2 linked regions of the Rattus norvegicus genome follow. The protein of the gene in region 1 purifies or fractionates together with the protein of each later gene. This does not show direct contact. Links are inferred from orthologs where the notes say so. Each region holds a gene or a part of one and is shown on either strand. Other genes may lie near its edges.

Region 1 (5,386 bases):
TCTATGGTAATTCCTCCCTCCTGCTGGCAATTCCTTCTGGGCAGAAATTTCGGCCTCAGTTACATCTCTCATGGCATCCGGAGGAGACCAAGAAACTATGTATTTCCATGACCTGCCCTTAATCACATGCCATATTGCCACCTTCAGAAATTACAGCAGATTCTCTAGTCCATCAGCCTCTGTGAGGGTATTCCTGTATTGGAGTGACAGGTCACATTCATAAAAGGGACATGCAGCCATATACCATAGAGGAAGAAGACAGCCGCCCTGGGTTTCCCCTCAGAGACGTGCAGCTTCAGCGGCACGTCTTATTCGTATCAGACACATGACTGCCGCTCCAGCAAGAAGGCACAAGGTCCCATATCACCGCAACAGAGTAACCGTCTGAGGATTGCCACATCAACGCTCCACCTTCAGTTGGATCATTCACTCTTGCCTGTGTCTCACTCATATCAGGGGGTCATATGACCCCCTCCTCTCGGAATCAACTTTCAGCTTCTCCCAATTCAGGCACCAATTTTGACCTTTTTTTTCCTCCCTGGGGAGATTTGAACCGGTCTCTCTAATCACCTCAGATAGGACAGAGAACAGAACAAAGAAACAGATTGGTTCACTGGAGTTACTTACAGGTGCATGGATGAGGGGTTATCTGTAGGCGTAGGGGTGGTTCAAGGGCATTTGCATACCTGGCAGCCCACTCTCAGAGCACCATCAATGATCTAATAGTTTCCCACTAGGACCCACTTCTCAAAGGGGCCGCCAATCTGCACAACACGCTGGAGACCAAGCCTCCAGCACATGCATCTTCTGAGGTCAGAACCACAGGAAGTGGGGGGGAAAAACCCCCGAGCAACATTATAAACCAGTAGGTTCTGACAGACACCACAGAAGATGGCACAGACAAAGTGAATGTTTTCTCAAGTGCATAGACAGGTCACAATGTAAGTCTCCCTAAAATGTTTTAAGCTAAAATGATTCAAGGTATTTCCTTTATTTTTCAATTCATTCTTCTCTCCTATATCACATCCCTGACCCCAGTTTCCCTCCCTCCTCCCGTCCCAGTGTTTCCCCTTCCCCCAACTCCTTTCCTCCCCCCACCCCCACCCCAGTCCTCCCACCACTTCTCAAGGGCAACCAAATAAGGCATATCAAGTTGCAATAAAGCTAGGCACCTCTCCTCATACAGACCAGGCAACCCAGTAGGAGGAAGAGTCCCAAAAGCAGGCAAGAGTCAGAGACGGCCCCCTCCTCGTGGAGTCCTGCTAGAAGAGAAAGCTCCACAGCCTTAATATTACATGCAGAGCGCCTGGGTTAGAACCATGCAGGGTTTCCGATTGCCACTTCGGTCTCTGTGAGCGCCCTATGAGACCAGGTTAATTGATTCTGTAGGTTTTCTTGAGGTCTGTGTCCTTGACCCCTCTGGCTCCTACAATCCTTCCTCCACCTCTTCTGCAAGATTCCCCGAGCTCCCGCCTGATGTTTGGCTGTGGGTCTCTGCATCTATTTCCATCAGGGACTGGCTGAAGCTCCTGCCTACCAGTATAGCAGACTTGTTCGGGGGGGGGGGGGGTTGTTTTGTTTTGTTTGATGTCGTTGGTTCGTTGTTGTTGTTGGTTCGTTTTTTGCCGTTGTGTCTCTGGGCTATTCAGCTCTGCTTCATGGCTTTCCACGGCGTCAGGGATGGGCTCCCCTTAAACCGGACCAGTCATTGATTGGCCACTCCCACAGTTTCCGTACCACCTTTACCCCCAGCACCTTTACCCCCTTGTAGGCAAGACAAGTCATAAGTAGAAGGTTTTGTGGCTGGGTTGGTGTCCCAGTCCCTCCATCAGAAGTCTTGCCTATTTACAGGAGATGACCCATTCAGGCTCCATGTTCCCTACTGCTAAGAGTCTCAGCTTATGCAAGATACTCTTGTAAGCAAAGTGTGTTAAACACTGATAACCAAGGGTTTGCCAACATAGAGGAAGAACTCTCTTGTAACTAGGGGAACGGGAAGTCTCAGCGACAAGCTTATGAGAGAATGGCTGTCTCAAGGGCTCCAGCACACGACTCGGCTCGTCAGAGGATGGTCTGGCTGTTTCCACTTGTCTTCTGCCTCGGCACAGGTAAAAATGTGTGTGGAAATGGATGAAGTCGCTGAGTGAGTTCCTTCTTTGGGCCGCCTTGCTCATCTTGATCAGGCTGACTGCCAGGTTCTCTGTTCAGAGACTTAGGAAGTTCACATTGGTCCTAGCAAACTACTTCCTTCCATCAGACTGCTTGGGGACTGATTTAGGGCAAACATTTCAGCTGGAGCTGAGAGGAAGGGAAATGTTTTCTGAGGTATGGAAAATGAGTCTTTGTAAGTCAGGACTGTTCGTGACCAGCATGTTATGGTACAAAACTAAGTTTAAGGGGTAAAAAAAAAAATCTACAATTTAACTACTGTGATGCTGTGTAACTTCAGGGGGATTCATGATCTTTTCTGAGTTTCACTCTTCACACAAATATTGAAAACCCCCGCAATGTTTTCACACTGCAATTAGGAAGGGATTGAATGAGCCTGCGTCTCCTCCCTCCTACCTGTTACATGGATAGCAGGAAGGTTCACACTGTGTTTGAGAACTCAGAGGGTGTGCATCTGGACTGAAATGTAGTGTTCTAGGACAGGAGATCAAGCAAAGGCTGCTAACACAGACCTAGCCCCGAGGGAAATCATTGGGAAAAAAAAGGCGACTAGCATTTATTTTATTCCAGAAAATGGACTAGTTATTAAACATGCATTACGTTTAGATGTCTCATAACCTATTTGTGAATGTATTCTATTAATAGCTACAAGGAACTTGACTAAGACATTTTAAATAACTTGCCAAAATTCTATTAGTCATCAGGAAAAAAATAAAAAATAAAAACGAATCACTTGACAGAAACTGTCGGTAACACACACATGGGAGCATGCACAGAGAAGTGAACACATACTGCACAGACAGAACTAAGTAGACAAATCGACAACAGACATAAAAAGGAAGCAAGGTTCATTAAGGCATTTGATAACCATTCATTAGATGGCTACTGAATGCCTGACACGGTAGGAGTTTCAGGAACTAAGTCAGCGCAATTTCTGTTCTTGTGGATAAACTATAAACAAGTAAAATGCACCAGCTTAGGACAAATAATTTTGAAAAAAATAAGCAGAGAGGGGCGGGGAGGGAGAACATAATGTCACATCGTAGGTTGGACAGTCAAAGAGAGGGATAGAGTTGGGGTGGAGGAGCAGCCACGGGAGGAAGGTCATTTCCTCTTTGGATCTATTTTGTTTTACGTTATCAATACACTGGCCAAGAGGAAGTTTCCTGGAAGCAGGTGAAAACTGAGGCATTAGGCTGAGAACCGAGACTACCTCAAACTAGGAGGATGAGGGATTGAGGACAGAACTTTGGGAAATGCATAGAAGATGCAGAAAAAGATGAGAATTATTTAACTCCCATCCATCCATGTTGCCACTTCTCAGCCCAATTCCAGCCAGCGACTTGAGGTTTTAACCTCACTTTTTTACCTCTATGTCAAGACCAGTCAGACCCACCCCTCCCTCAGGACTTAGAAGTGATTAATGGTTGGCTGGGGAGGGAAAGACATTTTCCTAGGTAGTGTGGCCACTTGTAAGATGTCCTTGCCTCTGTACATAGCCCTTTCCCCCATGCTCCTATGAGCAACCCTAAGAAACTCATTGGCTTATCAGAGAAAGAAAAAAAAAAGAAAGGAAGGAAGGAAGGAACTGAAGGACTGGATTATAAAACTGGATAATTTCTGTGTGTTCCTCCTCCGCATCTCTGAGGGTTCTTCTTCTAACACCGCTGTGAAATATCAGACTCAGCCACCATCTGCAGATGTGCATAGAAGAGGCCGACAGAGCCTAAGTAACAGTTTACTGCCACACAGCTGTGGGGGAGGGGTATGAAGAAAAGAACATGGTTTTGACTTCGTCTTCCTGAGATAGATGCAGGTGGCCAAAAACCCCTCAGTGGAGCGGAACTGTGGTTACCAGGGTGGAAAGTGGCGGGTCTGGTTCCAGGGTACAACTAAGCAGGGGACACCAAAAATAGGAGAACCTCTCTGGACTGGGTGGTGAGGAAGAACTTTCTGGAATAGGTGAAATGATGTGAGAAATGAAATAGGATTCTAATAAAGAAGCATGGGAGGGAGGCGGAAGTGTAGAAGGGGAGAGTTGGGAAGGATTGAGGAAAGATGAGACCACCCCAGCAAGTATGTAGGCCAAAGAGATGCTCTCTGAGAAGAAGATGACTCACTCACTCACTACACGTTTTCATGTAGGTGAGACACATCCTGATTCCATTTCAGAGTCTCAGCTCAAAGATAAACCAAGTTGCAAAACGTTCATGTGCATGTACAGTGCTAATTTGTTCTGTGTGTTTACAAATGATGTGTGGCGGTGAGAGGTGGACATCCATTGTGTATCTTTCATGACTGCTCCTCTGCCTTTAGTCTTTTGAGACAGGACTCTCAGTGAACTTGAAGCTTGTTCCTTTGGCTGGGCTGACTGGCCAGTAAGCCCCTCGGAACCTCCTCCCTCCCCAGTGCTGAGATTAGAGCAATAGGTCGGTTCACTTGGCTGCTGGGATCTGAATCTAGATGGCCCTTTGCCATCACATCAGCCCCCTTCATTCCCTTTGTCTCATTTCCTTGGAGGCAAAGCTAACCCGCCATGTGACATGACAGTTCTACTCTTCAGGGCACAGCAGGTCCTCTTCCATTACCTGCACACGATTAGGCCTAACAACATCCCGCCATGAAGGAAGGACCAGTCCTTCATGTCAAGACCAATCAGGTCTACCCCTCCCTCAGGACTTAGAAGTGATTAATGGTTGACTGGAAAGGGAGAGACCTTTTCTTAGATAGTGTGGCCACTTGGAAGATGTCCTTGCCTCTGTACATATCCATTTCCCCCATGTTCCTATGAGCAACCCTGAGAAACTCATTGGCTTATCAGAAAAAGGAAAAAGGGAGGGAGGAAGGAAGGAAGGAAGGAAGGAAGGAAGGAAGGACTGAAGGACTGGATTAACTCACGAAGGGGTCAAAAGAAAATAACTAAGGTAAATAAGATCAAATTACAGGGGGTTGGGGATTTAGCTCAGAGGATTTTATTAGAATACAACTCAGAGAGGGGATGCTCTGGCTCTGCATTTCTAAGGAGCCCCGGGGTGATAATGCTCTTACCTATCTATCAATCCGTGGGCCACACCTTGAGTAGCCAGGTTCTGAAGTGTAGTCACACTGAAACTGGTGCCAGAGAAAAATGGGAACTAAATTCTCCGGGTGAGTCTGAAGGAAACATACAGGTGCTCTGAGGCCCAGGGGAGAACCATGGCTGCGTGTTTAGATAAAG
Region 2 (5,149 bases), on another chromosome or scaffold:
GGACAAAAAGGTCATGTCTGAGATTCACTCTAGGAAAGAGGCACATATTGTTTGAAAGGACAATTTTAAGCATGGTTTGAACCATACAATAAAAATAGAGTGAGTTGAAGTTTAAGAACACCTTCTTGGTTAATGAGAATAAACAAAACATGGAATAAGATGCCACTGAGCAAGCCACCATTGTTGTAGGTTTTTTCATGCATATATGATTTATTTTCTTTCTACTCTTCATCCTACAATTCAGTATTTTGAGTTAGGAAGTACGTTATGTTCCAAATAACATGTTGCACATACCATGTAGTGCCAGTGAGAGAGAACAAAATGTTTGTGTATCTCCAAGGGGACACTCAACTAAAAACAAACAAAACCTGAAGCACTTATCAAAGGCGAGGAAAACATTCCTCTTATTTTTCTTGTCTCTTTCCTCCACAGTTTTCTGGCCATAACTGTGAAAACCCATAAACAGGGCTAGAGACTCAAGGTAGAGAATTCACCACGTCTATAGGAAAAGGTTTTCAAAATGAAATTGGTCAACAGCAAGCAAAAAAAAAAAAAAAAAAACCAAAAACAAAAAACAAAAGAAACAAGCAAACACCTTACATTTATACAGCATCCCCTGTCAGTGAAAACCAGAAGGCTGAGAATTTCCTTACATGGTTCCGGCCTATGTGCCCAAACACCAAGGTTTCTTTTCTTCAAGATTTCACTTACAACCATGTTTTATAACAACCGGTTTCTATTTTACGCAGATGTAAGGTGAAGCCCCAGAGAACTTGAGTGACTTCCTAGAGCCCCCACCCTGGCCTCTTAGCCCGATGCTCTTGCTAATGAAGAGTACAATATGGCTGAACAGTTCATCTAATTCCAAATTGTGTGCTGAGTGCCTATTATGTACCAGGATATGCTCCTGGTACTGGAGACCATGTTTGCTCCTTCATGAAGGTAGTTTGTGGTAGACCCCACATATAAGTAAACAAGCTAATGTTAGTAAGTTTAAAGTTCCTTGAATAAAGGTAATCGGGTAGCAGCCCAGAGAGGCCACTTAGGTTCGTTAATGATCAGGAGATGTAATGTCGAATACAGGTGTAAAATCCTGAGAAGGAAGCAGGCTTAGTTACCTAACAGAGGTGATCGGGTGCTATGAAAAGCACAAATCTGAGGTACACTGTCTCCAGCCCTCTCCCCTACATAGGCTGCATTTGAACTTTTATCTTTTCCTTTTGGTTAAGGAGCATGCTACCTCTATTATCAGTGTGTCCAAAGCAACCTGTTTCACTCACCATCCTTCATCTTTTCACAAGAAAAAAATACCCTAAGGAGTGTCATTGGCTTTCCCAGCTCTTCTTAGGGATCCACTTAGGAACATGAAGGTCCAAGCCCAGGGCTGGGTGTCTAGCTTAGTAAAAAAAAAAAAAAAAGCATTTTGGAGGCTCATGTAAAATCTTGGATTCTTGGATTCTCTCCCCAACACTGAAAAATTATTTTTCCATATATTTACCTTGAAGCCTTTATGATGAATGTATTTGGCATGATCTGCAAACTGCCAAAAGTAAGGCTTGGCCATTTTTAAAAAATCAATATACAATGACAATCCTTTCACACCAGCCTCAATTTAATCTTTATTTTCTGGCCCAGAAACTACTTCAAATTTTTGCAGTGTATCATCATGTACAGAACTCACTACCAAGCACTGTTTTGTTTTTGCTTTTAGGTAGACTGTACTGTACTAGAATGAGGCTGTGTGTGTGTGTGTGTGTGTGTGTGTGTGTGTGTGTGTGTGTGTGTGTGAATACCCTGCTTACAGTAGTGCCTAAACTGGGTCCTTCTGGAGACTTCCTCAAGAAGTACTGAAATAATTTGTCCAAAAAGAGACCAATAATAAACCAGACATATCTGTTGAGTATCAAAGCCCAGCATTTACTTTTTCTTTTCTAATACATGGAGGCATCATCTTCATCATCCCTTGGAATATGAAACCCATTTAAAATCAAGGGCTAAGAGACTGATTTTCGGAGAGAACAAGCTTTAGAGTCCAACTACGGTAGGGTTCGCTCGGGGAGGTTGGGAGCCAGGATGCAGCTGCACCTGGTTCAAAATGGGGCAAGAGGCTGAGAACAGTCTAGGCAAAGGTCAAAGTGGGGTCAGAAGAATGATGTTTTCTTTCTGTGCTCTTTAAAACTATTTATTGTCAGTCCTATCTTTTACGGGACACACCACGTTTTTAAACTCATTCCGCCTCTTATAAGCAAGGTAACAGCATCACGAGAAAGGCACCTCTGCTCTTTCACACACTTCCTCTCCAGAGCTGTGCTGCTTTAGTGTTCTTTGTTGTTGTTCATTAGGGTCGTACACTGTGTAGCCCTGGTGGGCATGGAACCGGCTGTGTTAACCAGGGTAGCTACCTGTAACTCACACACATCTGTCTGCCTCTGCCTTCCCTGAGGGGCATTCCGAAAATAATGAATTCCATTTCCTGGTTGGCCACTTCTCCGAGCATTTGTTAGATGCTTTTCTTTTGGGGTACCATTTTCAATCACACTTGTAGAGATTGATAGAGAAAGCTTTTCCTTTGCCTTAATTCGTGGCCCAGAAGACAAAATAGTCCAACATCCCAGAGCTCCAGAGCCGAAGTCTAGAATATGGGCCTTTCTCAAAGTAAAGGTAAATTCTAGGCCATGTTTTCCCATTCTGAAGGCTATTCAGTGAAGCTGCCACAACCGAACTGGGGAAATGCAGTAGATAAATCCCCAGGGAGGGACATACATCCAAGTACTGCCTGCCACACCCCTGGGCAGAGTCCTGGGCCAGTAAGAACTGGAAGAGTACTCAGTTCCTGCTGCCTGTATTCCCTCTGTTCCTTTGCCAAGAGTTGTAACCCCCTCCCCTGCCACTCCCCCCCGGACCTCCCCTGAAAGGGCAGGATACACATGCTATAAGCCTGCCATGACCACAAGATGTACTCACAAAACACACAGGCAGTACACGCCAGGGACACTCTCGCTGTCTCGCAGCAGATAGCTTCCATCCAGCCCCGTAGCGAGTAAGAGCTTCTCCCCCATCTCCCTGCTGATTTTGCCGTGGTACACAGTCACCGCATCCATGCCTAGCAAACTCTTTGATGGGCTCAGAAGGACGATGGTAAGAGGAAGACTTTGCGCTGCTGCTGTTGCTGCTGCAGTGGCTTGCTGGGCACAATCAGCCACCTGACTCCCAGGGCAGCCAGTATGAAAAAAAAGAGAGAGAGAAATGAGCACCCTAACAACAGGATGTTGTCTACCTGCCTTAAAACCTCTTCTCACACTTCAATTAAGGCCAGCTCAGCAGTTTAACAGGTTCAAACTTGTCATGGGTTTGATCACCCTAGTCTCCAACACAGAGTTCGTGGTGGGGGAGGGGCACACTGGAAAAGTGAACACTTGCAGCATTTGAGCTGTGCCAGCAATGCAGACAGAGCTTGCACAAAGATGAGAAGCTTGATAGGGCTTTTCTTGTGTGGTTCCTGCAACCTGTGAAGCCCTCGGCAATGACTTGGCTGAACTGGTGAACAAAAGAATGGCTGATAGAGGTAAATGGTACTTGTCATCATGAGGGGCAGAAACGGCCTGACAAAACAAAAGCATAAAAACAGCCCAACTACAAAACCAGAGTCTGGCTCTGAAGCTTCCACAGCATTCCCAAGTACTATTGAACTGTGCACTTTGGGACTAGATGTTCCTGAAAAAACTCTCTTTTCTTCAATGATGACAGAGTCCGGGACCTCCCAGATGAAGTTTTCTACCTCTAAGCCGTATGCCAAATCCTTGAATACACTTAGGCCCAAGCAAAGATTTTTTACCTTAATGTTTTTTTTCCAAGATCCAAAAGTATCAGTTTAGTCACACACACAAAAAAATTGTCATGGTATTACAAAATATTGCAGATAACTGAAGGGCTTAAAAAGAGCAAATCCTTCTATTGGCGCGTTATCATCATCATCATCATCGTTATTAAAATCCAAGCATTTCTTCTTTCCCTTTTCACCCTTTTCACCATCGAACGAACCCTGTTCTCCTTCAGCATCGTTATCACATGCATATATGCATGTTCATATAATTCCTGAGCACGTTACACAGATACAGTTGTATCTGTCTAATGCTATTTGTATGTACGTTTTCAGGGCTAGCCATCTGGTACTGGATGAGCAATTAGTATGCCCTTCCCTACGGTGACCACTACACCCGGTTTTACTCAGCTGCCTGTAGTTCTTCCTATAGGGCTGCTGGCTTGTGGGAGTTTTCTGTCCAGTTTGTTGTATGTGACCTTCTATGCACCCTTTGGTGTATGGGGCTAGGCCAGAATCATTGTGAATATAAAATCCACTTTGCGTCACTGCACAGGGGTTGATAACTGTGTTGTAACTTCTATTCTCATACATAAATGCCTACCTACATCCATGTTAAAAACATCAGAGGTTCACCTAACCAGGACTCTATTGGAAACAAAGCTAATACTTTTGAAATCAATTACAATGAGGCATTTTAAATATGAAAAGAAAAAGGGGATCCTCTTTTATTGAGTCATATGGACAGCACCCCACCTATAGTGTAACTGCTAGAACATTGAGTGTCACATAGGTTTAAAACAAAACCTAACCATTTTCTTTTTGGTCTCTGAACAACTCTGTACAAATCATCTACAAACATAGGAACAGAGAAACCTGGATCTGACGAAGCCAGCATCCCATGCATTCTTTTCTTTCTGTTTCATTCTGCATTGCTAAAATAGCACACTTGTCAAAGCAGCCAGGTACAGTGGGCTTCAGCACAACGAACATCGCATCAAAAGAGAACAGTTAAATTATAAGGTAATAGTACAGCTCTCACATCCAGTACCTTATTGTCACCTCACAAGCAAACTGACAGGTGTGCCAGCCCACCAGTGCAGTGTTGATGAAAAATACTGACATCTTTGCTTGGCTGCTACACAGGCAGTAAGCCTGAGCCTGTCTTTGGCAAATTCAAACTTCCCACAGAGCTTGAAGTGTAGAGAACAGAGGAACTGAAATAGCTTTCTTCGTTCTCCATTCCTGTCCCCACGATACAGGAAGACAAAGATCATATAACAGAGAAGGGGAGATAATAGTGGCACCAACAGACAAAGAGCTAAGGAA

The links. The genes of interacting proteins can lie anywhere in the genome.
Region 2: the proteins of Slamf6 (region 1) and Sh2d1a purify together in Homo sapiens (co-immunoprecipitation; 5 studies listed by BioGRID and IntAct, with this or other methods). This does not show direct contact. The link is inferred for Rattus norvegicus from reciprocal best matches to the Homo sapiens genes SLAMF6 and SH2D1A.

What each region holds. Positions count from the first base shown.
Region 1 is NC_086031.1:86,914,933-86,920,318, forward strand, and holds the start of Slamf6 (SLAM family member 6), read left to right. Parts: upstream 1-2,023; coding exon 2,024-2,108; intron 2,109-5,386. UniProt on the Homo sapiens protein: Self-ligand receptor of the signaling lymphocytic activation molecule (SLAM) family.
Region 2 is NC_086039.1:126,237,368-126,242,516, reverse strand, and holds the start of Sh2d1a (SH2 domain-containing protein 1A), read right to left. Parts: upstream 3,318-5,149; 5' UTR 3,102-3,317; coding exon 2,965-3,101; intron 1-2,964.